2 linked regions of the Caenorhabditis elegans genome follow. The protein of the gene in region 1 interacts with the protein of each later gene in a pairwise test. Each region holds a gene or a part of one and is shown on either strand. Other genes may lie near its edges.

Region 1 (15,901 bases):
GGATTGTACTCATTATTGATTTCCCAAAAAGGAGACGTACAGTTGAGGGCTATATCTTGTACACAGACAGATGTATAGAAAAAAACAAGTTTTGGCCTGAAAATTAATAAAAATAATATCTCTTGGCAGAGTATTTCTAATGCAACGAAACTTCATCTTTCATTAAATAAAATCAAAAACTATGAATCAAAAATACATTCCGCAAAACTTTAGTGGAAAAAATGCTCAGGAGACCCAGGAAACCACTCCCCCCAGTACTAAATTTTTGAATAATTTTTTTCTTGAAAAATTTTCCCACTGAACTTTTTACAAATTTTATATGTCTCGATGCGTCTTGATGAGACCTACACGTCAATTTTTGGAAAACTAAGAAAAATTGAAAACTGACCGAGTTATGATTGAAAAAGTAGATTCACGAAAATGGAGAAGTGTGCAAAATTTGGCACTTATTCGTCTTGCTCGGCCGACTCATAGAACTTTTTCCAATTCTGAGTTAAAAATCGTGTTCAGCGTACTTTTGTACGTAGAGTAAACAAAAAAATATCAAAAAAGATGAAGTAGAACTTGAGATAATGACGAAAAACTACTTTTTCGGAAAAAAAATTTTTTTTGGCAAAATGTCTTTTTTTGGCCTTTTGTTTTATCACAACTTTTTTCCATTTGCACTTATGAACTCAAACTTTTTTTCAAAAAATCAGTCTCTCTGAGTAGTATCTTGCACATGAGTTTGAAACAAAACAGAGCAAAACCCGAATTTTAATTCAATTAAAACATGCTTTTTTGGGGGTAAAAAGAGCAACAAAAAATTTTTTCAAACTGGGGAAAGCCGCCCTGGGCTCAATTTTGCTCCGAACTTAGTGCCGTTTTTTGCTCCACTGTGGGGCAAAATATTTCTAGTAGGATTTCAAATATTAGAGCATGAAGTCACACGGTTCAGGAGTTGTGAATGAAAACGAAGTGTGACATTTTTTCGCAAGCCAAAAAAAACGCGAAAAAACGCGAAAAAACGCGAAAAAGGGGCGGAGTCGCCACACTCGGCATTTATTAGAGGCTGCTTGGCAGAATAAATTACCTGACAAAAAGCGTCTTTGCAATGGAAAGTTGAGTCCTATCAAAGCTGCTTGCATTGGAATTGAACTGGAATCGAGAAATGAAGGTTTTTATTGGAATTTTTCGCAAATGGCCAGAATAATGAAGAAAATGTCAAAGTATAAAATGGTCCACGTGAAAATGTGTTTTTTTTGTAAATAAAAATTAAATCTCATTTGACCAAAGGTCCAAGTAATTTGGGCATTTAATCGAAAAAAAAAATCTCCTCGGAGTCGTAAAATCGCGGAAATCGCAGAAATGTATTTTTAAAGAAAAAAACAAGAAAATTAACGATTCCTCTAAGAAGTTAATCTCCCTTTTTAAATTCCCTCCAGATTGAGAACAGACCGACCAATCAGCTTTTTGTTCCGCCCGTTTTTCAACCAATCAGACGGTGTGGGCGGGAACCAAAAACGCTGATTGGTTCGAAAATGGGAGTGAATTCTTATTTTGGAGGGAATTCAAAAAAAAGAGGCTAGTTTGAAAATTGAAAAAAAAAACATTATTTAAATGTTTTTTAAATGTGGAGTTTCCTTTTTTTCTGTATTTTTTCATTATTATTTTGAAGTACATATTTCTGAATTTGAAGCAATTTTTGGTGAATATTTCGAAGAAAAGTTCTAAATTCACGGTACTTTACTTTCAACTAGATAACCAAGTTTCTACTATAAAGATATCCGTATAAGTGAATATTTTTGTAAATTCCAACATTCATCAACACCGTGAAACAGATTAAATTTTTATATTCATTGATTTTTGGTTGAAAACTAACTAAATCTTAGCAGTAATTTTTTAAAAGCTTTTTTAGGAGATAAAAAAAAGAAATTACTGATATGTATCTGTGATTAGAGATTTATTAATTTTGCGAAACAGGAAAATAAATTTTGAGTTATTTTTTTTGGTCTACATAGCTTCGAGTGACTTTTAAAAAATTGGGTAAACATAACTTTCCATCAAAATTAAATATAGCTATTTACAAAAATAATATTTTTGAAACAGTGAGAAAAATTTATTTTAAAATTATTTTAAAAATAAAAATGTTTTATTTATTTAAGACTATTTCGTCTAAAAAACTACTAAAACCCCATTAAAAAAATAATTGAAAAATCCGGCAAAAAAATCCTAATCCCCCCTAAACCCTGTGTAGTTTCAAAAGTAACAAGTGGTTAATCGTAGCAGGGGGCAGTTAAGTAAGAGAGCAAACGAATTGCCAGTTGGCCACTTCTTTTTGAGTCACACTAACAAAAAATGGAGCAAAAAGTGGGAGAGGCTCAGACGGCGCGAAAAAATGAAAAAAGAGTCCCCTCGTCTTGAGCAATAGAAATCCTTCAGCGGAGAGGCGCAGAGTTGCACACAAACATGCAATGACGTTGGAACAGGAGGTGGAGAAGAAACAACAAAATGTGTCTGTGCAGGATTGTTATATTGCTTTCTTTTTGCAGACGTGGGACAGAAGATGGGACACGCGGAGAGAATTGGAAGGAAATGATGTTAAATCTAAGAAGGAGTAAACTAAAAAGCATATTTTGATTATATAAACATACTGAAACAGTAAAAAATTAATTCATTGAATTAGCTCTAAAACATCTAGAAGAGTCTGAGTTTTAGAAATACCACAGGGTACATAGAAAAACATTCGAGGAAGAATGAAAAATTAGCTTTTAAAGCACTATTTTTGAACTCCTTATAAAAAAAGGAGCCACACCCATTTTCAAACCAAACAGCGTTTTCGATCTCCGCCTACTTCTTCTGATTGGTTGAAAAATCGGCAGAGCGAATTGCTGATTGGTTTTGCAGTTCTCAGCGGGAATTCAAATAGGATTTTTTTCCAAAATCGAAATATCACGTTTTTGAAACAATTTTCGTTTCCAAGTCACATTGGGGATGCTATGCAGTTTATTCTAAATTTTAAATTTGAAACAGTAAAAACGTTAGGTGTTATATTTTTACATATGATTTTTTCTGCAGCAACTGGACAGAAGTTGGGACACGTGGAGAGAATTGGAAGGAAATGACGTTGAGAAATTTGAAATTTATAAAATTTTAAAACCAAAAGTGTGTCCCATTAAACTGAAAAACATATTTGGATGATATTAACATAGTAAAACAGTGGAAATCTTATGTTAGAAGATTGTAAGAAGATTTAGAATGTCATGAAATTTTTTTCGGAATACGTAATCAGGAACTTCTTTTTTGAACGCAAATACATATTTTGCTGTCGACCACCAAAAAATTAGGAAAAAAAAACAAGAATATGAAAAATGCGAGGGGAACAGTGAAAACTCCAACTTTGAGAATCCTATTTTTGAATTCCATCCAAAATTAGAAGCCACGCCCATATTTGAACCAATCAGCGTTTTCGAACTCCGCCCACTCCTTCTAATTGGTTGAAAAATCGGCAGAGCGAATTGCTGATTGGTTTTGCAGTTCATAGAGGGAATTCAAACAGGGTGTTTCTGTTAGCCGAAATCAAAAAAATCACGTTTTTAAATGATATTTTTTGAAACACTTTCCAATAAAATTCCAATGGTAATTGTTATGAGGTAATGTTCTGAAAATTCTTAGAAATTTTTAGATTTTTTTCAAAAAAAAAAAAAAAAGTTTCCAAAAATCTCCCAGATTGTTTTCCCACTTTTAAACGTTCTGAAAAACATTGAAAGTTTGCAAAAAAAAATTTTGGAGCAATTCTACAGGCCTCCAAAGTAGTGAAAAAATGCACTGAAACGGTTTCAGACCAATGCTAGAGGGGTTGAGAGTGAACCTTTACCGCTTAAAATTTTGCAGTGACATATCCTTATGGAACACTTTCAAATGACACATGTCTCGTTTTGAAGTCTGACGGTAAACTAAAAAGCTTCCCTTGTGAATACTTATCAGATTATAAAATTTCCACAATTGTTACATAAACCATTTGGAACAATGAAAATATTTGTCTCCGAGAAATCTTCAAAATCTAGTGGGTGAAAATTATTTTTGAAAGACCACTTATACTCTGCAAATATTGATGTCTCTGTTAGTTTGGAGCCCTCGGGATTTTATTTTCTATTTGGGGAAAAAACTGTAGTCAGTGCTCTTTTTTGCTAAAGTGTCGTTATTAATGCTCAAATTTTTTGGAACAACTTTTATATAAACTAAGTGAAACAGTAGAAATTTGAAATACAGCAACAAAACCAATTTTCAAAGAATATTTTTGTTTTAATCATAAAATTTGAATTTCTTTTACAAAATCAGATTATGAATTGACGAAATTTCAAAAAAAAATTGTGAATAAGAATTGATATTTCTACATTTTTATATGTCTACAATGAAACAGAAACGAAAAAAAAAGAAAAACTTCCTCACTTCCACTACACATATTATTGTTTTCATTACATTTTCAGCCAGATCTTATCGTCTTTGACAAACACCGACATCGGTGTCAGAACAAGAGGAATTTTCAATTTTCTCAATGCTCTGGAATTTTTGAGCCGCGTGGGCGGAAAAGAGGCAAAGAGTTTCAGATCAAAATGAGGATATAAAAGCATCGTGGAGTTCTGGAAATTTCTCATTTTTTCTGTATTTCGCCCCCCCCCCCCCCCCCCCCCCCCAATGAATTCTCTCATTCTTATTTCTATCGCAGCTTTGGCTGTTGTCCACGCACAGTACGGAGCTCAGCAGGCTCCACCAGCCTACGCGCCACCGGCTCAATATTATCCACCAGCAGCACTTAATGATAGTGAGTCGTTTTGGGAAATTATTATTAATTTTTGTGTTGGGAAAAAAAACTATTTTTGGTCTCGAAACGACGTATTTTGGTTAAAAACAAATAAGTGTGCGCCTTTAAAGATTACTGTAGTTTCAAACTTTAGCTTTAAAACTAGTTTTCCGCGAAATTTTTTGTGATTTTATATCGATAAAAATGTATTTATTTATTAAAAAACTCAAATGTAACACTGAAAACATAAATTTTTGAAAAAAATGTGAAAAATCGATGAAAATCCAATTGCAATGAAACTTTGAAATTACAGTACACTTTCAAGGCGCACATACATTTGTATTTCACAAAAAGTTGTCGTTTCAAGACCGGGAACCTAATTTTTCGCTCAAAAATCGGAAAATTTTGCAAAATTGAATTTTAAAAAAACGGAAAAAGGCTCAAACCAAAAAATTTGGATAAAAAATCGTTCACTAATACGTTTTTACCTCTTTTTTCAAAGGGAAACCTGGTTTTTACCGGAAAAACAGATCTTTATAGGAAAAATAATATTTTCAAATTGTAAATCGGAAACACCAATACTTAAAACATAACAAAAACTTTCTTTTCACAAAAATAAACATGAATCACAGCTTCCACGTGGTGCATTTCGAATCCCTTAGCTCAAAAGATCACGATTTTAAAGTGAAAAAACCGAGTTTTTCTGTGCACTTCCCGTCTGCTTGCTCCCCCCGCGTGCACCACATGACGGACCAAAGCGTCATGTTTCATGTGGCACACTACACGTGGCTATTAACCTTTTGCACGAGCACCTAGTTTTTTCTAAATGCTGGGCATCATGAGGGAAAATCAAGACTTTTTTTTCAGATTATGTGTGCACAATCCAGGCCAACTATGGACTCTTCGGACAGGGCGGAAAGCGTTAGTTTTTTGTATTTTTTGCTTCATTTTTTTCCAATGAATTGCCATTCCGTTGATTTTTTCTTTCCAGATTACCGTCCAACGGTGAACTATTGCCAAGACACGTACAAGAACGATTCCTGTGATAAATGCTGCAAAATGGCCGCCAGAATCCAGGGAACTAACATCAAGGAGGTGATCGTTCACAGCTGTAGAAAAAAATATATTTTTAAAAATTTATTTTCAGGCCTCCATCATCGGGTTCAACATGGTCCTTGAGAAACAACCACTCTGCGTTTGCTGCTCACCGAATACTTCTTATTGAATGAACCGACGATAAACTCAATTCTTTTTAATTTTGACATAAATAAAATACATTCGAAATAATTCTGCAATTTGTCGAGACATGCACGAAAATACAACGAAAGATGGTAACCGTAGCGGCTTTTTATCAATTCTGGCCTCAAAAGTAAATTAAATTGTATACTGTCTGATTTACTTTTAATCTGAGCAAAATCGGTGAAATTAGAGTTTTAAAAATAAATTTATTTGAAAACAAGTGAGAAACATCATTCTACAAGCTAAATGACGAAATTTTAAAGAAAAACCATTTAATCTACTAACAGACAATCACTTTTTAACAATTTAACAAACAATTTTCAAAGTATTCGCCTAGTTTCAGCCGAAAATTGCTCGAAAAGTCTGAAAATAAAATGAAAAATTCCTCAGCTCGTAAATCGACACGAAACTAGTCGGCGTCTCCTCTTTTCACACACTCTCTCCGTAGCGGGTCTCGCCACGACTGCACACAGCTGAACGAGTGTGACCGTATCCGCCAGCCGCGTTCTTTTCCGTTTTCTTTCATTTTTCTTCCAAATCCTACAGTTTTTAACCTTTTTTGATTCTTTTTCGCGATTAAATTTTTTGAATTTGAGAATTATTAGTAAAATTTATGTATTTTGTAAGATCTCTCTTTTATGGTCCCAAAAATTCACGTTTTCGTCGTTTGGTTATCGATTTTTTGACTGATTCACATTTTTCTATCACAACTCGTCATTTTCAGGGTTAACCGTTGTCGTCATGGCCAAGTCCAAGAACCACACCAATCACAACCAGAGTGAGTATTTAAATTCAGATATAAAAGTAGTTTCTGTAGAGAAATCTCTTTTTAAAAGCATTCTTAAAGAATTTGAGCGATTTTTTTTTTGGATGAATCATTAAAATAAAAACTAGAAAAAAACAGTATTGAATATTTATAATTTAATTTTCAGACAAGAAGGCTCACCGTAATGGAATCACGAAGCCAAAGAAGCACATCTTCCTCTCCATGAAGGGAGTCGACGCCAAGTTCATCAAGAACCTCCGTTTCTCCAGAAAGAACAACAAACGTCAGATCAACAAGTCCGTCGAGTCCAAGGCCTAAATTGTTGTTAATTCGGATAAACTTTGTTACCTTTAATATCATCTGTTTTTGTTTACTTATTAAAAAATTGGTAGAAGTATGCGCCGTGCAGAATATTTGAATTAACATTCGGCTCATGTTGCGTGAACAAGTTGTATGTCTGACTTTAGATGAAAGAGGACACTTTGCTCCGAAAGCTTGTGGCCGACGGCGAAGGAGTTGGCGATGATCGTAAAGTTCAGCAAATTGCCACGTTTTTCCGTGAAAGTAGAAAGGAGGATGCGAAGACTTCTGTTCCCGAAGCAGTGAAGGTTACCAAAGCTGTAAGGATCCGGGGAGATCTTGTTCAGTGAAAATGTATGTTTTCAGCTCGAGTTTTTGGAGTTGTCGATGTTGAAGCAGAAAAGAATATCCCATATGAACAAGATTCATGCAACTGAATGCGATCAGTTTGCAGAGGAAATCGATCAATCGGTACGGAGAGGAAAACACGGCAATGGAGAAAAAAAAGACATATTGCACCATCTTTCCATTAAAAATTAGTGCAAAAAGATAGAAAATCACTTGATTTATCTGAAAATCAGGTTCATTGTAATTGAAATATTTGAGAAAGTGCTCAGAAATGTAAATGACCTGAAAATTGTCGATTACAGAGTTAGCGAGCTTTGTTTTTCAAAATGGATGTTATTTCCATATAAATCTAGTAATTTTCTATATTTTGACACCAATTTTTAATGAAAAATGTTAAAACGAGAGGTCATTTTGTTAAATTGCCGTTAAATATAAGACAGGATAATTATAAAAATTTAATTTCTATTCCAGATCGAAGAAATGTACAAAAAGATGGAGGTGGCAAAGAATGAGTTGGCCGATGCGAAAATTGTAAAAAGGTAATCGATTTTCCGAAAAATGTTAACCAATTTACAATATTTTATCATTTAGAAACCGTCAAGAATACCGAAAACTTGTTAATGTACTAGAAGAAGTACCGTCTCGAGCAGAAACTACACGAAAACTGGGAGAAGTCAAAGATGACTTGGAACGACAACACGAACGTCAGAAGGTGCTTGAGGCGAAGCTTATGGATCGAAGAAATCATCTCCAAGCATTCATGATTATACTCTCCAATTTTCAGCGTTTTTGTGCAGGTTCGTGTGCATTCATTGCGGAAAGTTGAGCTGAAGCCGTGAAATTACTGTTGAAATCAAACGATCGATCTGTGAATTTTGTAAAAATTCAGTAAAATCGCCTCACTGTTTGATTCTTTGAACTCTGCTTCATTTTTTGTTGTAATTTCAGTCTTCCCACGGCAGTCATCTATCACTTTTCCGTCTTTGAATTCCCATTCTTTGATCGTTCACCTATTTTTTTTTGTTTCAGAAGACGACGACGACGATGCGGAAGTCATGTCGAATCCAGGAGAAGATGACGATGCAGCTTCAGTCACCGAAAAACAACAAGAGGATGATGTCCGAAAGTAGACAGACGGCCACCACCACGACACACACACGAAAAAAAAAGGAGAAAAGCGGGCGAAAATACTTTTTCTGTCGATAATGATCTCTAATGCGATTCACTTCTCTCACTTTCAATGAACACTTTTCTCGAACATTTATTTACTTTTTTATTGTGACTTTTTGTACATAATTTTGCGGGATTTTTGAAGTCCTGCCGAAGGAAAATATACGAAATACAAAATGGGCATCGTGGGGAATGGAAAAATCATTTACTATATATAAAGCGCGTGTCCTTCTGTCCCTATGTAGTTTGATCTTTGATCAGAGCAACGAAATTTTGGGAAACCTTATGTTAAGTGCGCAGCAGACATCGGTCTCGCGACGATGGGTCTCACCACGATGGGTCTCGCCACGATGGGTCTCACCACGATGGGTCTCGCCACGACGGGTCTCACCACGATGGGTCTCGCCACGATGGGTCTCACCACGATGGGTCTCACCACGACGGGTCTCACCACGATGGGTCTTACCACGATGGGTCTCATCACGACGGGTCTCACCACGGTGGGTCTCGCAACGATGAGTATCACCACGACGAGTCTCACCACGATGGGTCTCACCACGATGGGTCTCGCCACGACGGGTATCGCCACGATGGGTCTCACTACGGTGGGTATCGCAACGATGGGTCTCACCACGATGGGTCTCGCCACGATGGGTCTCACCACGATGGGTCTCACCACGATGGGTCTCGCCACGACGGGTCTCACCACGATGGGTCTCGCCACGATGGGTCTCACCACGATGGGTCTCACCACGAAGGATGACAGACCCCGCCCACAATTCTCAGTGACTTTGGGTGTGACGTCACAGACTACAAAGACTACATAGACTATTTTTAAATTGATATTTATTTATTTAATTAATTAATTAATATTTTTTTATTTATTTAATTAATATTTATTTATTTATTTAAATAATATTTATTTATTTATCATTTACTATATATAAAGCGCGTGTCCTTCTGTCCCTATGTAGTTTGATCTTTGATCAGAGCAACGAAATTTTGGGAAACCTTATGTTAAGTGCGCAGCAGACATCGATCGAGGTCCGCGATAGACACCGTATATCTAATGTGTTTTCTCAAAAAGTCGGGGGCCCGTCGTAGGTGCGGTCCACGGCTGGTAGAACATATAGTTTTTCCTGTGGTTTTCCAAGAGTTCTGGGGAAATGAGACGAATTTTGTGCGAAAATTCAGGTTTTTTTGAGTTCTTAAATCCATCGTGCCGACACCCAACTATCGAAGTTTATTAAATTTTCAACAAAAAATCACTAAATTGTCACTGCGAGACCCGATAAAACCCACCCGGCAGTCCCAATTAAAATCAATTTTTCCGTTTCACTGGATTTATAAAATATGTTTCTCGAAAATTACTATTTACTGGATTGATAAGATGCAAGAGTGTTTCTAGAACAGATCGGATTCAGGTTCTGGCACGAAAAAAATTTTCTAAGCTACAGTACCCATGAGTACTGTAAAAAATTATTTTTATTTCTTTATGTTCAGTAATTTCTAAAAGTAAAAAAAAACATAAAAACGTTATATACTTTCGTGTGATAAGATCTAAGAGCAAGCGTATTGAGAAACCCTGCAAATTTTCTACCGTACTCTTGGGTACGGTAGCTGAAAAAAAAAGCGCTCGTTGCGAGACCTCAATCTGCAATTTTTCAGCGCTGCTTTTTACAGAAAAATAATAAGCTTCCATTTGCAACTCGTCTTCGGTATTATTATATTTCAAAAATAATGAAAAATTGCAAAATATTAATATTGGGTACTGTAGCTGCAAAGTTTCAATCGTTTCGAGACCCAGTACCGTGCTTTTTCTTCAAAAATCGCCAACTTGCGCATCTGAATAATTCGTTAAGCGCCTTTAAACGGGGATTACTGTTTTTTATTACATATTCATTTTCCGTGTTCCCAAAAAAATTTAGCAGCAATATAATTGATTAAATTAGCAGTAGTACAAAAATTTGAAACAAAAACCACAAAAAGTCGTTGCGACACTCGATAAAACCCGCCCGGCAGTCCCAATTAAAATCAATTTTTTTCCGTTTCACTGGATTTACAAAAAATGTTTCTCGAAAATTACAACAATAAAACGAGAACTGGCATGATACTTTTGAAAAAAAAATTCTCAGCTACAGTACCCATGAGTACTGTAGAAATTTATTTTTATTTTTGGTTTCTTTCTGTAGTTTTTGATTTTCAGTTATTTCTTGGGGTAAAAAAACAAAAAAATATTTAATTTGGTGTGAAAAGAGGAAACGTATTGGGAAACACTACAAATATTCTACCGTACTCTTGGGTACGATAGCTGAAAAAATTTCGCTCGTTGCGAGACCCCAATCTGCAAATTTTCAGCGCTTCCGCTTGCAACGCGGCTTCGGTAAAATTTTTGAAAATTTTAAATACAAAAACTACATATGACTTTATTGAAAATCTTGAAAAAGGCCAAATTCCTTTTTAAATAAACGTGGAAAATTGCGAAATAATATTTGTGGGTACTGTAGCTGCAAAGTTTAAGTCGTTTCGAGACCTACTACCGTGTTTTTACTTTAAAACTTGCAAACTTGTACATCTGAGTAATAGCGCCTTTAACCCCGGATTACTGTAGTCTATATTTTATTACACATTCGTCATTTTCCGTGCTCCCAAAAAGTTTAGCTACAATAGAATTGATTAAATTAGCAGTAGCACAAAAATTTGCAACAAAAATCACAAAAAGTCGGTGCGAGACCCGTTAAATCCAGTCCCAATGGAAATACGATTTTTTTTCCGTTTCACTGAATTTATAAAAAATGTTTCTCGAAAATTACAACTGGATTAATTTAATAAGCAGTGCGACATGAGCAAAATTTTCTGAGCTACAGTACTCATGAGTACTGTAGGAATATATTTTTTGTTAATTTTTGGTTTTTTTCTTCTTTAGGTAAAAAAAAACAAAAAACTATTAACTTTCATGTGAAAATATCAAACGTATTGGGAAACCCTACAAATATTCTACCGTACTCTTGGGTACGGTAGCTGGAAAAAATTCGCTCGTCGCGAGACCTCAATCTCGCATTACTGTATCTTATTACACATTCGTCATTTTCCGAGCCCCAAAAAAAGTCCCTAACAACATTTCGCAACTCTAGTACTCCTTATCACTTGAAAAAAAAATAGTAGACTACATCTTATCAACATGTTTTTTGGTTACTTGACAGGTATACTGTAGTAGTGCAGTAGAGCGCACTTGGCTGCGTGGAGGGACCCAGGACCAATTTAAAGCTTGTGAAGCGAGGATAATCCTTTGATGACGCTTCTTCTTCTTCTTCACATGCATATTCATATATTTTTATAGACTATTCTTCTGCTGCAGTACCCTTTCCTGTGTGCTTATTGATTTCCTCTCTCTCTCTCTCTCCATCCCTTTCTCTCTCTCTCAGTCCCCCAATAGATAGATAGACCGGGCCGGGGTGGGCTGAGTGGGTTGTGTGTTGCGTTGCTGGCTCACCCGAACGAAAATGAGGGTGAGTGCGAGAGAGTGCGGAGACGCAGACCTGGTGTCCCTCGGGCACGCTCGCGCACACATATACAGAGTGGTTAGAAGAGTCGTAGACGCCGAGACAGAGAGATCACTACTCTCCGATGAGCGTTTTTGCGCGAGCGAGCGTCCGTGAGCGTGAGTGTTGAGCGGCGGGCACTCTCTCTCTCTTTCTCCTTTCGGGACACAGCGCACATCTTCCCGTCTTTCTCTGTTTTTCTCTAGCTGTCTCTCTCACACGATGCACTCTCCCTCTCTCTCACTACACACAACCCCCATGTTGTTTCTTTTCACATACTTTTTCTCCGTCTTCTCCCCTATTTTTCGTTTTATTCTTCTTATATTTCTATTCAGTTTAGTTTTCATACATATATTTTTGAGTGCGTATGTTGCTGCCCAAATTCTGTTCTTTTACTTTTTCCTTCTAAGTCATCTCCGATCCTTAACCAACTACTCTAATCTAATCAAATCAGTATTCCAGTATTCTCGAGGCACCGAGGATCCATCACGTCATCCATCCCGAACGATCGATCGACGTGTTGTGTTGTCTGTGGTGTGTGAATCGACGCGACGACGAACGGACTGAAGACAGCTTGAAACGGGATGTCTTACGAAATGAATAGTCTCTTCTCGTCGAATCAGCAACCACTCGGAGGGGGACCACCACCTCAACAACAATCACAGCAGCAGCAACAGCCACCACAGTCGTTATGGTCACTCCAACAGTTTTCGCAGATGGGAGGTAAGGAAGCACCCCACCAGTACTCAAAGATCAATATCGATCCGAGCCCCCGATTGTCTAGCTCTAAGTTCAACAATACCTCTCCTACAAGGAAGGCTTTAGTGTGCATCGTATAACGGTACTGGATACGATAACATATATAAAAGTTCATATGCAAATCTTTTAAAAGCGTTAATATGTTTGATTCTTAAGCTTCTGCTTTATAACCATTGTGAAACAGTACTTTTTTGTTCGTGTGCACCATAGGACTAAAGGACTAGAGTTACTATAAATGTACTCCTAGATACCCAGGTTTTCTAGGTTAGACCCTTTAAGGAGTACCGTAGATTTTTAAGAGATCTCGTGTTGTAGTCTTTACAGGATCCGCTTGACTTATTGGTTACTGTAGAGGTACTCGAATCACGGTACTGGATACGTAAGCATATACCGTATTTCGTCTATTAATCGTGATCTCTTTTAGTCTTGCATGCAATACTAAAACAGGAAATTCGGAATTAAATTGGACCAAACAATATTTTTGATTCTCACGCGTTTGCTTTATATCCATTGTGTAACAGTATTTTTTCTGATAATCTAGGTTCACGGGACTAGCCAATTAAAATTATAAAGGTACTCCTAGGAACCTCAAGTTTTCTACGGTAGACCCTTTAGAGGCAGCCGTATCATTTGTGAATATTACGGAATACGGTAGATTTTCAAGAGATCTGGTACTGTAGTTGTAGGATCCGCTCGACATTTAAGGTTTTGTCGGAATGAAATGGTATTACTTTTCCTTCCTACCTGTTAACCTTTATAGATATTATGAAGCAATATTTTGTGAGGGGCCGGGTCCCGCAGCGAAATCATATTTTTTAATAAAAATGTGATTAGCATTACATGCCCCTGTAAAACGGAACCTTACGAAGGCAATGGGTAGTGCAAATGCACTCTACCGAACCAGGTTGCAGTGACTACAGTTATACGGCACACAAATTGCGTACAGGGATCACTTCTCGAGCACCTTGTACCCACGGCCATCATATAACTTCTACGTACCTTAACCTACCGTAGTTTCAACTTTGTGCATTGTGTCAAATGCCTAGGACGCTTATGATTACGCAATTTTTAAAGTACGGTGAGCAATTAGAGGGGACCTAGAATAAATTCGAAACGCACTCCATTTTATAGTTTTAACTTCCATTTCACCCTCCATTCAAATTTTTTCTAGAACAACCTACTAATTGAAAACTGAGGTAAATTTGTCAGGTGCCAATATTTCCGTTAAATTTGAAACAGTAGAATTGTAAACTAATAGTAAAAAGTTAGTGTTCAAACATTCGATCCCGTACCGTAACCTATCGTAGTTTCCACGTTGGGTACTATCAGCGAAAAAACCTAAGATATTCATGATTAAGCAAAAATTCAAAACGAAGTGAGCTCGCATTGCGGGTTCATAATTAATTTTTAGGTTTTAATATTTTTTAAAAATCAAATAGTTGAAACTGCAAAATTTTTTAATTTTTCTCCCAGACATCAGTTTATTTCAGCCCCGGACAACTTTGGGAACCACGCGGTCCCATTCATGCCAACACTCGGAATGCTGAATCAGTACCAGAACCCACATCCACTTCAGATGGTCCCTCCACAGCCTCTCGTCACTCCATCCCAAGTCCTTCCACCGTCTATGGCTGAACAACAGAGAGCCGACACCATCCATGGATTCGGAGTGTTGACTTGGTTGTCTGCCAAGGCTGGTCTGATCACTTGCAAGGACAAGATGATCATCTCGTTCCAGCTCAAGGACTTTTGTGATCAGGTTAGTACAAACCCTTTTCGATTATAAAGTACCTTATAAAATTAGCTAATCTAATTACCCATATGATCTCTATGATCTACCAAGGTTAGCCTCACTTCAACATCTGACAAATTTTCAGATGCTCAATGACTTGACTTCCGTGCTTCGTGTTGGTTTCACATTGTCGTTCCACGCTGCACTCAATGAGACAAGCGAGTACACCGCCACCATTGTCTCACCAATCTATGGTCCCGATGCTGATGTTCTCTTTGCAAACTCCCAAGAAGTCGACCTAGAGGCGGCAAATCCAACTCCACCAAACTCGAAGGATGCCTACTCGCCGGCTCTCGAGCAGAAGGCGATTCCAGCTCTCTTGGCAATTTTCCAACGCCACGGATTGCAGCAGATTCAGCTGAGCAGGTAGGATAGATGTTTTGAAAGTTGCTTGATTGCTAAGTTTCGCTCTTTTGTGCCTCCTTTCTATATATTAACTGACCATTCCCTTGCTCACCTTATTTGTTCGACGGCATCTCCATGACACCCTTCAGGAGTTTCAGCCTTCACTCTCAAATGTCCAACTGTGGGGATGATGAGCTATTCCGTTATGTTGGCACATCATCGTTGAAGCGTCGTCAATTCGTGGAGCGTCGTACTCATCTCTTCCGTCTTCAAAATGATGACTCCATCATTCTTCAGGTAAGCAATTCTTCAGAAGATTTAGATATTCTAAATCTATTCCATTTCAGTATCCAGCAGTGTATCAAGCTGTCTACCAATTGGCATCCTATCTTCTCCGTCGTGGTGGAGCCACATCAATCCAGTCGCTGTTCGACTACTACGGTAGCCCAGACATCATGCCAGAAGTTCGTAGCCATACTGGAGAAGGACGTCAGGACTTCCTCAACCTGCTGACTGCTCACAACTGGGTCTTTGCTCTGTTCCCCAACCGCACCTATGTCTCTGTTCGTCGCAATCTGCCAAACTATGACTATGTCGGATTCATCAAGCAGCACTTCCAAGAAATGGATATTACTCGTTCCCAGCAGATGGCTTACGGACAGCCACCACGTGGAATTCAGAGAACCATGTCGGCTCAGATGGGCAGCTCGTTCGCCACTGGAAGACCACAGAATTTGCTCATGCAGCATCAGGTAAGTATATCCATGATTAGATTAACAACGTAGCGGTTTTTTCCAAAATCACAAAATATTTCACAAGATGATGAAACAGTAGTTATCACTTTCAAATAGTTGAGT
Region 2 (15,901 bases), on another chromosome or scaffold:
TAGCTTATTAGAACAGCCTTTATGCAAAATCAATATTACATTATTGTTCAAATTCTCCTCAACTATACAGTAACCAATAGACTACAGCAGGGTGGTGGAAGGATATCAATTATGCTTGAATACACGGATGCAGTGAATATTTTCTCTCAAAATACTCATATTAGTCCCACATTAAATATCAATATGAAACACTTCAAAAAATTGTATATCATTGGAAATTTTCAGTCGCAGGTTCTGGTAAATTTAAATTTTTGAAATTTTTGTATTTTAGTAAGAGAAATCTTGCATTTTCGAATGCCAACAATGTTTAGATACAAGTGTTTGAATCATAATTATGAAAAAATAATCGTAGAAAACAGCGTTTTCTTTGGCAGGGTTACAAAATTACTATAGCTGAAAACTGAGTATTTATTAGTTTTTTGAAGAGATTTTCGGTCACTATAGTACCATCTTTCTCTGAACAGTATTTGGAGAAAAGTTCTTGGTTGTAGATATACATATCCAGATATAATTTCAATTGTTTTTGTTTAATATCAACCCCCGTATCTGTTGATTTGCTATCAACAAGCGAAACATTCCATCTGATAAATTCCAAAGACCTTTTCCTCGGCCTTTGATCGGTGAACTCATCAGTTTGAGCCACCTGACCTCATGATGAAATAAACATATCTTCTTGTTGTTATGAGATCATAAAATTTTATTTCATAATGATGGATACATACCTCTGGTTTCTGATGGACTATGTTGTACATTGTGATAGATCCAGTGATTGCACAGAATGCAAATTCAAATGAAGCAAGTAGACTCATTCCTGGAAATGTTTAATTCAATTATTCGCTTGAGATACATATATTTAGATGGCAGATACTGTTTTAAAATTGGAAAAATTTTGATTTAGAATACGTTGTTCTCCTTCCAAAAATTATTAGATACGTATCCAATATTTCGCACAAAAAAAGCTTCAAATACTCCTTCATTTTTGTCTGAACATGGAAAACCGTAAAAAAGCGAAAACGTGGGCCATGAGTTTTCCTGGCGGGTTTCTTATTGTAGTAAAAGCGTCCAATGTTGAAAGCTACAAAAAGGGGCCTGAAACCGTGCTCTACCAAATTCCTTGAGTACTAGTTAAATTTGTGTGTCATCTATGAATCAAAATTGAATAAACTAATACAATTAGATAATTTCTATTACAAGTACCTCCTAAAATTATTCTCTTAAAGTTCACACCGCTCGTAAATCAACAATGGTCGATCGAGGTGTGGCTCAGGCGCCTCTCACCCGCCTTCTTAGCGCCCTACCAAGAACTTTGTTCTAAATTTCATTGTCAGTCTCCCCTATTTTGTTTCCAGAATTATTCGAAAAATATTGAACAACGTTTGTTCTGATTTTTCGGAATTTTTTTTTGAAGTTTAGAAAAAAAAACAATCCTAAATTGTTACCTGATGGTAGTGAACAGCAGCAGCACTGCCATTTAATTGAATGAGGATCGAAATCCATTCTGTAAAAACTACTGTTGAAAGTTTCGAAAAAACCGAACCAGAAGAAAAAATAATTAAAATTTGAGACGATACCCCGAGGGGAAGTACTTCCCTTTATGAATCATTTATAGAAACGATGAAAAAATGTTTAAAACTCATAAGAAATTGAAAAGAAGAAGGAAAGGACTGCGAAAAGATTGGAAAAAGACTAATTCATTAATTTTTCCAAGAATATCATTTACTATATATAAAGCGCTTATTCTGTGTGTCCATAGTTTGTAGTCTATGTAGTCTTTGTAGTCTGTGAAGTTTTGGCTTCTGTGGGGATAGTGAGTTGGGGTTAATGTAGGGATATAGTCGGGGTACTGTAGTGGTACAATAGTGGTACGGTAGGAATACTGTAGGGTTACGGTAGTTTCAGAAAAATTAGTTTTCAGCCCCAGAAGTCGGGGGCCGCGCCGGAGGTGCGGTCCACGGCTGGTCAATGAATATAAAAATCCAAGAAGTTTTCTCAGACAATTTCATTAACAAATTTTTAAATACCATTCAAACTTTATGAAAAAACACCACAAAATTTTCAGCAAATTTGTATGGTTTACGTTGTTTTCCATATCCTTTATGGCATGTTTTGTCCCCCTCTGTTTTTGCTGTTCAGCCACCAAAAAAAGCTCTGAAGAGCACATCTCATTTTGGCTTTGCAAAATAATTAGAAAAGGATGGGCTTTGAGCTTTTTGTTTTGTCCAGCTATTTTTTTGGCTTGGCCTTGTCATTTCATTGGTTTTTTTTTTGAAAAAGATAGGCAATAATAAACGCATAATAATATTATTTGAATAGATTATCAAACATAAAAGAGGAGATTACGAGCATTGCAAAGAAGGAAATGACGATGGGAATAGGAGATCTGGCTGAGCAACATAAATGATTTATAATTAATTTTTCTTTCAATTTGGAAGAAAATTTAAATTGTAAAAGCCTACCTTAGCTTTCTTTTTTTTGAGATTTTTCAAGATTCTGCAAATTAACATTTTAAAAATCTAGAAGTAAGATCAACTGACAACGTTGTTATTGAATGATTACGATAGTTTGAAAAAAGTTTTTGCCCATGACATTCAGAAAATTTTTGATATCTTTCACTGAGTTTTGACCATTGGAAGCCATAAGGTGGGCGGAAAATGCAACAAAACTGAACTCCTCTCATCTTTTTTCTTTCTACTTCACTTGGCCTTAGTCCAACTTTTCTTTTTCTTTTTTGCTCTTTCTTTCAGCAAAAAAAAGAAGAGCAACTGTTAGGTACTACACAGATATAAGAGACGAAAAGAACAGAAGGTGAGAAGGGGAAGAACTTATGAATATTTTAAAAGAGTGAGAAAAAGTCAATGAAAATTTTAACCTGTGTAAGAAAGGCAAAAAATATGAAAAAAAAAGAAATTGCAAAATATTTGTGTTGTCTTCTGATGTGAAAATATTGTTGGCGAATAGAACTTTTGTTCGATTTCATGGTAGTTACTAAAAATTAATTGCATTGTTTTGAGCTGAGGTGAAAGAAGAATCATTAGATATCTATTCACAGGTGTACGAAGCAGGCACATGGGGAAATAATGGGCATGGAAATAGAATTTTGTAGTTTGGGGACAAATTTTTAAAGTTCCAATCAATTTAACGAGATATTTTGTTTTTCGAAACCATTGGTGTCTGCTATTGTGACAAATTTGACCTGGGAATGAACTTGTAGTAAAACTTCCCATGACAGCCATAACAGAGATCGTGGAAAAACCCACTCCAAAAAAACGGAGCGCGCCGAGTTGAAATTCAGGATTACCGCAAAAGGAACAAAAAAAATCGAGCAAGATTTATAAATCCAACATTCTACAGCGTTTCTCCTAAAGCGTCACCTACTCTTGAATCAATCAACAACGATTTGTCTTGCCGTTTTCATTTTGGAGGAAATTCAAACATGGTGATTTGCAACAAAAGAAACTGGGATTTTTCATTGTTTTTTGATTTTTCACATTTTACCTCTGTGGTGTTTCTGAATTAGAATTATGAATTAGAAACTGAATTTTTGGGTATTTTAAAGTTTACACTTTTAAACAGTGTTCAACACATAAAGTAAGAAAATGGCGATTTGATGAAAGAAAACTGAATGTTTCCAGATTAGATAATTATAAATTTGATTCTATATGAAAAATATGTTCCAAAAAAAATTATTTGAATACGGAAAATAATATTATAATCTTCAGCTTCAAACTTCATTCCTGACAGTATTGTTTTTCTTTTTTCAAATAAATACCTGGTTGAGTTAGAATAACAAAAGTCAGTTTATGAAGATGATGATTATGATGAATAGGAAACTGAAAAAAAATGACAATATAAAAAAGAACTTTCTCTCTTTCACACGAGCTCATGTGAGAGCCAAAGTGAGATAGGAAAAGATCTTGAATGGTGTCATGTCTCATGATCATTTGTTTCTTAGATTTTACGAAATTTGAGATAGTTTTCAAAGATGAAATTGTCTAGTTTGTGAAACAAATTGTTGTTTCATCTTCAAAGATTACATCTAAAATTGAAACAATTTAGAGAATTTGGGGTTTAATTTTAGACATGCTTATTGAAAATAACAATTTGAAAAAAAATGCATGTTTTCAGCAAATAGATTTTTATGTCCGCTTTATATTTTCCATTCACTATATTCTATTGAATAGACATTTTCAGCTATAGACTTTAATTTAACTTTGCATTGTTTTAAATTAAAATATATATTATTTAGATTATAACATGTTGGGTGCATCGTTAAAAAAATTAAGGAAACTCCAAAATGTCATCTTCAATTCCTACTATCATGCAGAATTTTTTAAAGTCACTATTAATATTGATCTACGTAATTTGAATACAACAAAAAAAATCAGAAAAAGTTCAAATGATTTTATGAATTTTTTAACATATTTCATCCATTAAATACGTATTAAAATCAGTAGTCTCAGAAAAGTCACATGCAATTTTCTGTAATTTTCAATTTTTGTCTGAAAAATCATTAATTTTTAACATTTTTTTTTCTTCAAATTTTGATAAATAGTCATACTTTTCAGTCCTCTATGAGATTCCGAAAGGATTTTTAAAAATTTTGGCTTATCTCCAAAATCGTCTTCCGCTCTGAAAAACGAAATTGGACCTTTGCCTTCCGAAAAATGGGCAAAAAAACGAACTTGTGTTTTTTTGGTCGAAAAAATATTTTTATAATGCTGAGAACACGTTAAACACGAATATCATGTTTATTTCGAGATCCGGATGTTCTGAAAATGTCTGACATAGATTTAAGAAAGCATAGATTTATTTTCATTTTCAACGTTTCAAAGCTTTTCAAATTTCATCATTTTCAAAGCTTTGTGCAGCTTTTAAGAATCTCAAAATTTAGAGACAAAACTTTCACGTTGAAAATTAGAATAAATCTATGCTTTCTCAAATCTATGTCAGACATTTTTAGGACATCCGGATCTCAAAATTTACGAATGACATAGATTTAAAAAAAAACATCATCCATTTTTGAAAGATTACGGTACATAGGTTAACAAATTTAAACATTTTCAACTTTACGAATGCAATGGAAAATCGTAATGATGAGTGAGCTCTTCGTATCTCACTTCTGCTCCCCAGACAAAAAGATAAATTGATTGGAAATCAGAGAGTCATCCGACATGTAATAACAGGTGTGTATCAGTGCTGAGTGTGTGTCCAGAAGAAGGTTTAAAAAATAGAGAAAATGAACAGAATGAGTGAAGATGTGGTGTTGAAAAAGAAATGGAAGAAAAACAAAAACGAGTGGGAGCCCATTGAGTCAGTTGGTGGGAAATGCTCTTTGAGTTTTTCGGGTTTTTAAATTAGTCAAAATAAATGGGACTTTGGATGAGAATTTGTGAAGAGCCACTGGCTATTGAGATGTGACTGAAAAAACCATTGAATCGGATGAATTCTCAATGTTTCTTTAGAAGTTCCTTCTTTCCAACTAAACTAGAATCAAAAGTCCTTTGTTCGCAGTATTTTGCTGCAATGGAAAAGAAGAGAGAGAGTGTAATTCAATTTACGGGTACATCTAACAAGATGCTCGCAGCTCTTTCACTTCCAAACAAAGAGAAGAACCATAAAAGTAGTGAACATTGAAAAAAGGACGAAGATTAGTGGTAGGTATGCTCACATTTTATGAGGGAAAGAGCCGGAAAGCAGAAAGAATAGATGATGCTTACATACTACCCTTATACCTTCTACGAATGAATTATTTAAAACATGTGGGGGGAGATATATGTATGAGAAGAACGACGTCAGAACGTGTCAAATTGTTCCAAAAGTGAGAACTGGGTCTTCTAGAAATTAAATAATTAATTTAAAATTCTACTTTTTTGTCAGATTGTGAAATCTTTCTGTACAAGTTCATAATCTTCCAATTTTTTCAGTCTAGTTTGTTCAGAATTGCTTCCCTGATTACCAGTTCTTTGCTAACATCGCATGATATTTTATTTAAAAGTACAGTTGTCTATCTAGTGAAAAATTTCAGTTCAAGATGTAGAGTTGTTATTCCTGCTAAAACATTCTGCAAACTATGTATAATGAACCCGGAACATTTTCCAAACTATTTACTACAAACCTTTACTAATATTTTTAATTTTGAAGGCCGTGTAAAAATCTCCCCACTTATCACTTTTGGTTAGAATTGTCAGCATAGGCAGTGGAGTTGCAGTTATTGCATGTCTTTTCGCTGTTGGATATAGTTTCAATGATATCAATTCCTTCTACGATGAGGTTATGGATACTATGACTGAGTTCAAAGTATATTTTTTTTAACCAAAGCTTCGAAAAACATTTGCATATTTTTAATGTTTCAGTTCAACGAACAACAGGCATGGAACTCAATGGTGAAACCAATCGATGTCTTTGGAAGAATTAAACGTAGAGCCAACACGCGTCAAGCACAATGTAACTGTGAATCCCAATCTCAAGGATGCCCAGCTGGACCACCAGGACCACCAGGTCAGCCTGGAGCACAAGGAGAGCAAGGACATGTTGAAGTTTCTGGACAACCAGGAGCACCAAGACCACAAGGACCAGCCGGAGGACCAGGACAACCAGTACAATCTGGTGGATCAGGAGCCTCAGGAGCACCAGGACAGCCAGGGCAAGCCGGTGCACAAGGAACTCCAGGAGCGCCAGGAAACTCTGGATCTCCAGGAGGAGATGCTGCTCATTGTCCATGCCCATCTCGTTCCGTTGTAGTTCGTAAACATCGCAAGGTCTTCCGCAAGCGTGTTGACAAGGTTTCAGCTTAGCTTCCCTTTGTTTTCCTACAAATAAATCATTTTGCATAAAAATTGTTAATTCGAGAATATACAAAACTGGTTGCAAAACATTTTCTAGGTCTGAACTGTCTTCTAATGGTATATTTGAACTCACACTCACGTATTTTATTTTATGGAATTGATTTCAAAGACACTAATCACGGTATACAAGCAGAGCATAGGTCAACATCATTAACCATTGTTGTCATTTCTTATCTAATCAGTTTTAGTTTTTCATGCAAAAATGATATTTGCACTTTTTCGCTACATCATCGACTTTTACAGATTCTAGAGTACTCTCTCAAAAAACTCATCTCGATTTCACTCAAAAAAGAACATGGAAGATGAAACCACAATTGTTGGAAATATTGTAATAGCTTTCACTAATCTACCACCTTCAGCACGTACTTTTCAAATTCCTCTTGAATTTGATTGATTTTTCCAACAGTTTTTATCGCTAGTCGTGTGTTTTACTTTTCATGTTGTGTTTCGATGTGAAGTTCTCTGATTCTGCCTGTTATTTAAAATTGATAGTAAACTTTTCGTACACCTGTTTGGTTATAAAAATCCACGTTAAAAAGTGATTCCGATATTTAATGAAACATTTATTGAATAATTAAGAGAGTAACATTTTAAGATGGATTGAAAGAATGCCGAGGCGTTGAAAAATTAAGCCGTATTGTTTCGTATTACAACAAACGAAAAAGTGCAATGGAAATGGTAAAGTAAAAGCAATAGTATCAAATCGAAAAAATGCTAAAAAAGCGATAGTAGCTAAAAGAAGAAAAATTAACACGGAAAAAGTAATTGGGTGATATTAAATTATTGATAATTGGTTACTTCTCCGGTTTCATCAAAATCTTCTTCATTTTGGAGTGTTTCCTTGATAGCAGACAATCGTTTCTTAGCAGATGCCAGATGTTCTTTCATTTTAGGTGAAGTTGTCTGAGAAGAGACACGTTCCTCGTAGAACTTTGTGCACAATCTTTGGAACTTCAAGTTGAACTGTTCGAACTCTTTTTGAGATTCTTCATATTTCGACAAGGCTTCGGATTTCATTTTCTTGGTCTCTTCAAGTTCATGTTTCAAAGCTTTGGTTCCATTTTTCATTTCATCAAGTTCCTTAGAGGTGTCGTTGTTTTCAGATTTCAATGTAAGAATATCACTTCTCAGACACAAAATTCTGACTTCTCTTTCATTGATTTCATGTACCAATACATCTTTCTCTTGTTTCAATTGTTGAGCTTCTTTGAAATATCTCTCTCTCGAATCCTTTTCCATATTCAATTCATATCTCACTCCCATACAAATGGCCGATTGTCTTTTGATAAATTCGTTCAAATTTTTCTCAACTTCAGTCATTCTTTCCTTGTATTCTTCAAAGTTCTTTTTGATTCTCTTCAATTCCATTTCTTGTTTCATCAATGTCATTTTGTTCACATTGATCTTCTTCTCATCATAGAATTCTTCACAAGCCTCGATAAAAGCATCCTTTTCATGAAGACGTTCTTTCAATTTTTCCAATGACTTTTGATGTTCTCCATTCAAATCTTCAACCTTCTTTTCCAAATTATTGATTATTGTGTAGAGACGATTGAGTTCCGAATCATGGCACTTCGCTTCCCCTTTCAGATCAGAGATCTCAAGTCGAGAATTGGCAAGCTCTCGTCGTCTGAAATTGAACATATTAAGAATGGGTTAGTACAATATAATCTATATAACAGGTTGCACGTTGTCCTAGAGTTCAAACAACTTACGTTTTCTGATGATCAAATCGTTCGTCATCCAATTTCATTTGAAGAAGTGCGATCTCCGATTTCAACTTGGACTCGGTGGGAGTGAAGAATGGATTTTCAGCAAACATAGTTTCAGTTCTGAAAAATATTTAATTGAAAAGAAACGTTTAGTGAAACTGCAGTAGAAAATACTAGAGCAAATAAATAAATGAAAAAAGGAAAGATGCACCTTTTGAGAATGTTAGGTGAGAATGAGTAATTGGATCGAAAAAACAGTGAGAGAGAACGATGGTGAGAATTTACAGCGTCCAAATATGGATCGATATTCACAATTTTGGAAAAGCGTTGCATTGTATGGTGATCTTCTGTCGAAGAACATAATATATTGATTGGATCGAGAGAAGTCATTCAGAATGTAGTTGACTCCAAATCTATGGCTATACTAAAATGGGCATTTTGTAAACGTTGAAAGAAACTAAATTTCCAATTCCAATTAATCTAGCTCCCACTATTGTTAATTCAGTACCATCGATACAAATCTCGCAGGTTTTATCAATCTTTCATCCCACTCAAACCTTAAGAAAGAAAAAAATGTTAACATTCAAAGATGTAAAAAAATTTTATCACTTTCAAGTTTCAAAAATTAATTTTGGCTATAAATATGCTATTCCAGTTTTTAATTGAAAATCTAGCAGTCTCGAAGGCCATATAAGCTATTTAAAATCAGATATACGTGCAATACGATCAGGAAAAATCCGGTACATGAAAAACCAAAGTAATACTTTTTTACACTATTTTATTTACACTAGAAATGTCAGTATTCTGAAATAGAGGGCTCTATTCTCTTTTCGTCTTCGGTTGAAGATTTTTTAAAGGAATTAATACAAATACACAATTACTTACTAGGACTGCAACTGGGATATCTCAGAAAATTAAAACAATCAAAATAAGAACAAAAAAATAAACGTACCGAATGGGACCTGGATAAAATGAGAAGAATGAATTGAGAACAACATGAATGAGAGTGAATGTTAGGTAGTTCATTACAGCGTCTGGATTTGGATCGATATCCAGAAAGGCTCTATGAGATCGTCTGCTTATTGTCTCCCTCTCCCTGAAACGGCAGATTGAGAAGGTACCAAAATATAAGGTCACAAAAACTGGTACCCTAGATTTATAGAACCATGAAATAGCTAATGGAAGTTAAGTTTATATGTATGGGGCTCTTCAAACTAGGATTTAAAAAGAGACAAAGGAAAGACTGAATTGAAGTATTAAAAACGTAATATATTTATTTGGCGGTCGCAGCGTCCGAACATGAATTGATATCCAGATTAAATCCGTTTTATTGTCAACTGTGGCACCTCTTTATCCTTAAAGTGAAAATTAAAATCCATAAAATGTACTCTAGACTGACGATGACACTCGGCTGAAATTTAATTATTTTAAATCGTTCACTTAAGTAGCTTCATTGATCTATTGAAACCAAAAATACAAACGAAATCCCACCAATATTTGTTGTAATTCCTAAATACAGAAGTTATTCAGACATTTGCCAATATTACCAACACTTCCATTTGATTTACCCTAGTTTTCAACACACAAATACTTGCATGTTGTTCTTAAATTTTTTTTTCTTTCTTAAGAAATAAAAAGAATATGATTTCAAAATGTGGCATGCAAATCTGACTATCAGACAATTGATAATGAGTCAAATCTTTGTATATAATTTTTTTTAATTAGCAAGATCTTTGTAATATTCTACTTTACTAAAGCTATTCAAGCATTTGTTGCCTTCTATCAGTATTCATCTAAAAAGTTTAATAACAGGTTTTAGACAAATTTCAATTTTTTTTTCGGGAAATGCACTTTAAGAGTCTATTGTAACAATCACTTGATCGGTTTGTAGTCACTTGATTATCTAAAAAAAAAGCTCCTCCCTCTTTCTGATCAACTAGATGGAAAACCAAACAAAATGCAACATTTCTTATCGCAGAATTCGAATTGATAAAAAGAAACCTCCAAAAACTGCTTTGAAAATCAAGTGCTTATTTACATTTTCAGGTTTTCAAGAAATGCTTCATGTTGATAAAGTGGACAGTCTCCAGACTGAAAAGGTTAATATTCGTGCAAGTGGGCTCGTTGAATGGAGTTGTTATACATTCATTTTGAGGTGAGATCTCAATTTTTTTGTTATTCTTCATTTGTATCTTTGAGTTTTTGAAGATCATGATGTTTTAAGTGTATTCTGTAGATATCATGTTGATAAAGCTGTAGGCATAAACATGCCTTACTGAGCGCCTACAGGTGCCCGAGAATTCATTTTTATGCCAAAAATTTTGCCCATTTAGACTACATTATGACCGTGGAACCTATGCATCGTTTTGTGTCGCTCGATCTGATTCCTTGGGATGTATTGATTTATCTCGTGATGCACCAATTCGAGGAACTTATACAGGTATTTCTACTTCCTTCGTAACTGAAAGTCCAATTGTTCATTGTTTTAATATTTCCAGAAGTTGACCAAATGGGATTATTTATATCAATTGAACCAACTCAAAGTATCCGTCCAGGTCATTTTTTCAAAACTTATGACCCAAAAACGTATTATTACACATTACAGTGAGAATATCTGTATATATCTGAAAAATCAAACACATTTTTCTCAGGTTATTGGATGATTCTAAAAAAATCATAGATGAAATTCATCTGAAAAAACACTGGAAACATCCATTGGTTGAACAAATAAATGTAGAACAAAATGGATTATATGGTACACTATTCAAACCACCTGGTAAAGGACCATTCCCTGCTGTTATATTTATTCCTGGATCAAATGGAATGTTAGAAAGTGGATATGCTGCTGTATTGGCTTCCGAAGGGTTTCTTACATTCACTTTTGCATATTTTGCATATAAAAAGGATTTGCCAAAATTGATCCCGGACGTTGACATTGAGTTTTTTGAGGTACTGTGATGCCAGAACAGTAGCTTCCTGAATTTAGCAATGTCGAAGAAACAGGGCCTTTTGCAAGTCCATGGCTCGTGTTTCCTGTTACTTTCCAGTTTTTCTATAGCAGTGTGAATGCTTCGTATATTTTATCACAGATAATCACTCAAATTATCAAAATTAACTAGCACCAAGCAATATTACGAACTTCACGGAGCAATCTGTTTGATAAATAAAAACGATCCGCCGACCAAAAAAATTCAAAAAGCTTATTGCAGAAACCTATTGAATATGTACAAAATTCACCATATTGCTCCGGAAAAATTGGTTTGGTAGGACAATCATTTGGAGGTCTAACTGCAAATTATTTGTCTACAAAATATCATCAAGTGTCTGCAGTTGTTGCATTGAATTGTTCAGCAGCATTTTGTAGAGATAATGCAGTTATGAAAGAAAATGGAAAACCAATGGAAACACAAATTTTAGATGAAGGAATGTCGGATTTTGTGAATCAAGTTTTACGCCAAAAACCAGCATTCAGAGATTTGTATAGCAATTTGACACCGACAACAAGTATTCCATGGGCAAGAGCACCCAAGAACACAGCTTATAGAATTGTGGTAATTTCTATGTTTAACCTAAAATGTTATTTAATCAAAAAATGTAGAAATTAACTAATTTACGAAAATTTTCGGGATCACGAATTACAAATGTTCCATAGAACATCATTCACTTTACTTTTGTACTTGTACTTTGAACGATATAGAGTGAACGCGATAAATTTGTTTTTGTGAATCAAATATAATGATATAATCATAATTTGAAAAAAAAACGAACAGTAAGGCATTTTCAAAAACGTTCAACTAACAAAATATTGTTCATGTTGGGGGTTTATTAATTTTAAAAATAGTTATTCACTAATTTTCTTGTTAAAAAATCTACAGCTGCAAGCGTCAAACGTGCTGATTTTCTGAAATCGGCTGTAACTCTAGAGCAAGTTGTTTTCACAAAAAATCGTTTAAAAAAACATTTTTACTTCAACGTCAATGGGGATGTATGTAGTATAAATACACTTAAAATAACCCAAAATGGCATATTGTCATGATAAAATACTTGGACGTCTTTTATTCAGAATTTTGGTAAATTGCCAAATTTATCAACCATGAGAGTTTTTTGAAGATATTGTGACATGTAGTACTCTTAAATGCTACACATTGAAACATAAATACAATTTGAAATTTGTAGAAAACACGTTATTTTTGTCGAATTTCAAAATTACGATAGGATATGGGCAACTTTTTGAATATAAATAAAAAAGTTGTTCAAAATAATAAAAGTTTTGTTATCAGTTTTGGTAAATTGAGAATCATAGGATTAGTTCTTACGAACAAAAAAAATAGCAAGACATTCATTCTAGATTTTTATTGCTAAAACTGTTTTGTAAAAACAACTCGCTATTGATTTGGAGGTTATTGCAGATTTTTAGTGAACTGAACATTTTTAAAACATCTTCTACAGTTTTTCGAGTTAGATTGTTTTATTTAATTTTCAACATCTTAATTTCCAGAACTGTAGAAAAAAGTTTATTTATTTTTTAGCAATGCTACGATGACATGCTTGTGGATGCAGTTCCATCGATTATTAATATTTGTGGAAACCTTAGAAAGACCGGACATCATGTTGAGGTGAGGCGTTCAACTTTTTTTGAAACCAATACATTTTCTCAGTCTGAACTTGTTCCCGGTGGTCATTTCCTTTATTTTCCATATTTCCCCCACCACGGAATCATCTACAATGCTCAAATAAATATGTTATGGGGATTCGGTGGAGAATGTTATCAACATTCAAAATCACAAGAAACGACCTGGAAAAAGAACGTTGAATTCTTCAAGAAGCATCTTGGTGACGTAAAGAGAATTCCAGAATGGAAAAGAGAAAGTACAGTAACCCTCCCAGTGTCTACGAAAAGTTCGAAATCGTTGCAATGCAAACTTTAATTATTACTAGGATATTTTCTGAATAAAGTTGTTTGTATTTTTCAATATATTAAATTTTGCAAATCCGGTAAAAATTGAATGTTGTTCATTCAAAAAAGAACAAAGAAAATGGAGCGGCGGTGAAAAAAGACTCGTAAAATGCTCTACCAATATTTTTACAACGAATAAATAAATAGGGGACACAAAATGTGCGGTCTGAAACTACAATCTATGGTAACAAAAAAAGAGTCATCTTATAGGCACATAGAATACAAATACACACTGTTTATACTTAGGGGAAAATTGGCGAAAAAACAGCAATCGCGAAGATCAAGAAGAGATGATTAGTTGTAAAACTTCTTTCCGCTCTTGGCATGATCCTTGAGAAGTTGACATGGCTCAAATTGAACTGCTTCGTAAGCTCCAGCAAACTTTTCCATTGATTTCACCAACTTATCAGCTCCATAGAGATCAACGAAACGGAATGGACCACCCCAGAATGGTGGGAATCCAACACCGAAGACAGAGGCGATATCTCCATCAGATGGTGAAGCAAGAACACCTTCTTCAAGACATAGAAGCGCCTCATTGACGAAACGAGAGACAAGACGGATTTGACGGTCTTCTGGTGATGAGCTATAAATCATAAAAGTGAAATGTAAATATTCTAATATTATCAAAGCCTCTTTGTAGAGTTAGATAATCATAAACATCAACGGTAGAAACTTTTGCAAATGGATTGAAACTTACACAGATGCGTTTGGTGTCAACTTGTACTTTTGAAGCAACTTGGTGGCTTCATCGTTAACCTTCTTGCTTCCCTTCTTTCCGTCTCCATATACAAAGATACCCTTTCCAGTTTTACGTCCCTTGTGACCAGCCTTCACCAATTCGGACAACAAATCAGCGGATCCTCCACCAAGTCGTGGTCCCAAAGCTTTTCCAAGGAATTGAGCGACATGCTCGGCGACATCGAGTCCAACTTCATCAGCCAATGTCGCGGCTCCGACTGGGAATCCGAATTTGGTTGTGAGCTTGTCAAGTTCAGCTGGATCAACACCTTCTTGGAGAAGACGCATAATTTCAGCTGTCATTGGTCCAAGACAACGGACAACGAAGAATCCTGGACAATCTTTGACAACGACAACGAGTTTTCCTTGTTTAAGACCAAGCTGGGCAGCAGTGGCAAGTGTTTCTTTGGATGTTCCATCATGAGTGATAATTTCAAGCAATTGCATCTTCTCCACTGGTGAGAAATAATGCATTCCAATAACCTGAGGAAGTATGAAATATATTAATATTTTAAAAATGATAACTAACCTTATCAGGGCGGGAAGATGCTGCAGCAATATCCTTGATCGGAAGAGCTGAAGTGTTTGATGCAATAATTGTGTTTGGTCCAACGACGCTCTCGATTTGTTTAATAACCTTGTGTTTGAGTTGAAGATCTTCGAAGACGGCTTCAATAACAACATCAGCATTCTTCATGGCCGAATAATCAATTGTTGGAACAAGATGGTTGTAGATTCGCTCTTTTTCCAATTTGTTGATCTTTCTTCTCTTGACTTGTTTATTCAAATGTGTTGCAATTTGATTCTGTCCTCGCTCGACTCCGGCCGGGTTGGCATCAAGAAGAACTGTTCGGATACCCTTATCGATGGTCACATTTGCAATTCCGGCACCCATCAGTCCAGCACCGACGACTGCGATTTCATTGACTGGAAGTCCTTTGCCGTATTTGTTCTTCTTTGCATCAGTAGATCCATCGAAAAGACCAATGAGAGCTTTAGATTGGAAAGTTTGAGAAAGCTCACCAAAAGCCTAAAAAAAAAACATATTCTTGAAATATAATCAAAATAATTTACCTTTGCTTCGGCCTCGAATCCCTTCTTTGGGTCAACATAGGCGGTACGAACAACGTCGAGAATCTTCAGTGGAGCTGGATAATTTCCAGCGGTTAACTTCATCAGCTTATCTTTTGCCATCTTGAGAACCACATTGTCAAGGAACAACGAGTTGGTCATAACTGCTTGCGTAGCCTTATGCATGAATCCCTTGTCTCTGTTGATCTTGAGTTTTCCATTAGCAAGTTCCTGAGCAGCTTTTACTGCAATTTCTTCCAAATATTTATGGGTATTCTCGGCTGCTGGTCCAAGTCCATCTCCAAGTGGCTGAATAACACGATCGACAATTCCAATCTTTTTAGCTTTATCAGCCTTGATCTTCTTTCCAGTCAATGTCAAATCAAGAACATTTTGAACAGTAGTCAACTTTGGAAGTCTTTGGGTACCTCCAGCTCCTGGCAACAATCCAAGCATAACTTCTGGAAGGGACAAAAGTGTCTTCTTGTCATTTACAGCAATACGGTAGTGACATGCAAGTGCCAATTCGAGTCCTCCTCCCATACAGCTTCCCATAATAGCCGCAACGACTGGCT

What was found.
Region 2: the proteins of thoc-7 (region 1) and vet-1 interact in a two-hybrid assay, tested with the Caenorhabditis elegans proteins (one large-scale study listed by BioGRID).

What each region holds. Positions count from the first base shown.
Region 1 is NC_003282.8:13,875,479-13,891,379, forward strand, and holds thoc-7 (THO complex subunit 7 homolog), read left to right. Parts: upstream 1-7,255; coding exon 7,256-7,408; intron 7,409-7,454; coding exon 7,455-7,559; intron 7,560-7,907; coding exon 7,908-7,975; intron 7,976-8,027; coding exon 8,028-8,233; intron 8,234-8,465; coding exon 8,466-8,566; 3' UTR 8,567-8,699; downstream 8,700-15,901. Other genes in the region: prdh-1 (Proline dehydrogenase 1, mitochondrial), read right to left, coding at 1,073-1,127; B0513.4 (Transposase), read left to right, coding at 4,678-4,804, 5,651-5,704, 5,775-5,878, 5,931-6,008; rpl-29 (60S ribosomal protein L29), read left to right, coding at 6,764-6,800, 6,955-7,106; lin-66 (GATA-type domain-containing protein), read left to right, coding at 12,733-12,871, 14,398-14,666, 14,785-15,065, 15,194-15,341, 15,392-15,796.
Region 2 is NC_003279.8:6,193,400-6,209,300, forward strand, and holds vet-1 (Very Early Transcript), read right to left. Parts: upstream 8,678-15,901; 5' UTR 8,668-8,677; coding exon 8,561-8,667; intron 8,476-8,560; coding exon 7,626-8,475; 3' UTR 7,399-7,625; downstream 1-7,398. Other genes in the region: T05E7.4 (DUF7027 domain-containing protein), read right to left, coding at 723-811, 1,440-1,497; col-55 (Collagen triple helix repeat protein), read left to right, coding at 6,274-6,297, 6,354-6,794; T05E7.1 (BAAT_C domain-containing protein), read left to right, coding at 10,615-10,712, 10,891-10,997, 11,056-11,161, 11,209-11,506, 11,767-12,108, 13,087-13,173, 13,216-13,485; ech-1.2 (Trifunctional enzyme subunit alpha, mitochondrial), read right to left, coding at 13,809-14,100, 14,215-14,738, 14,785-15,285, 15,330-15,901.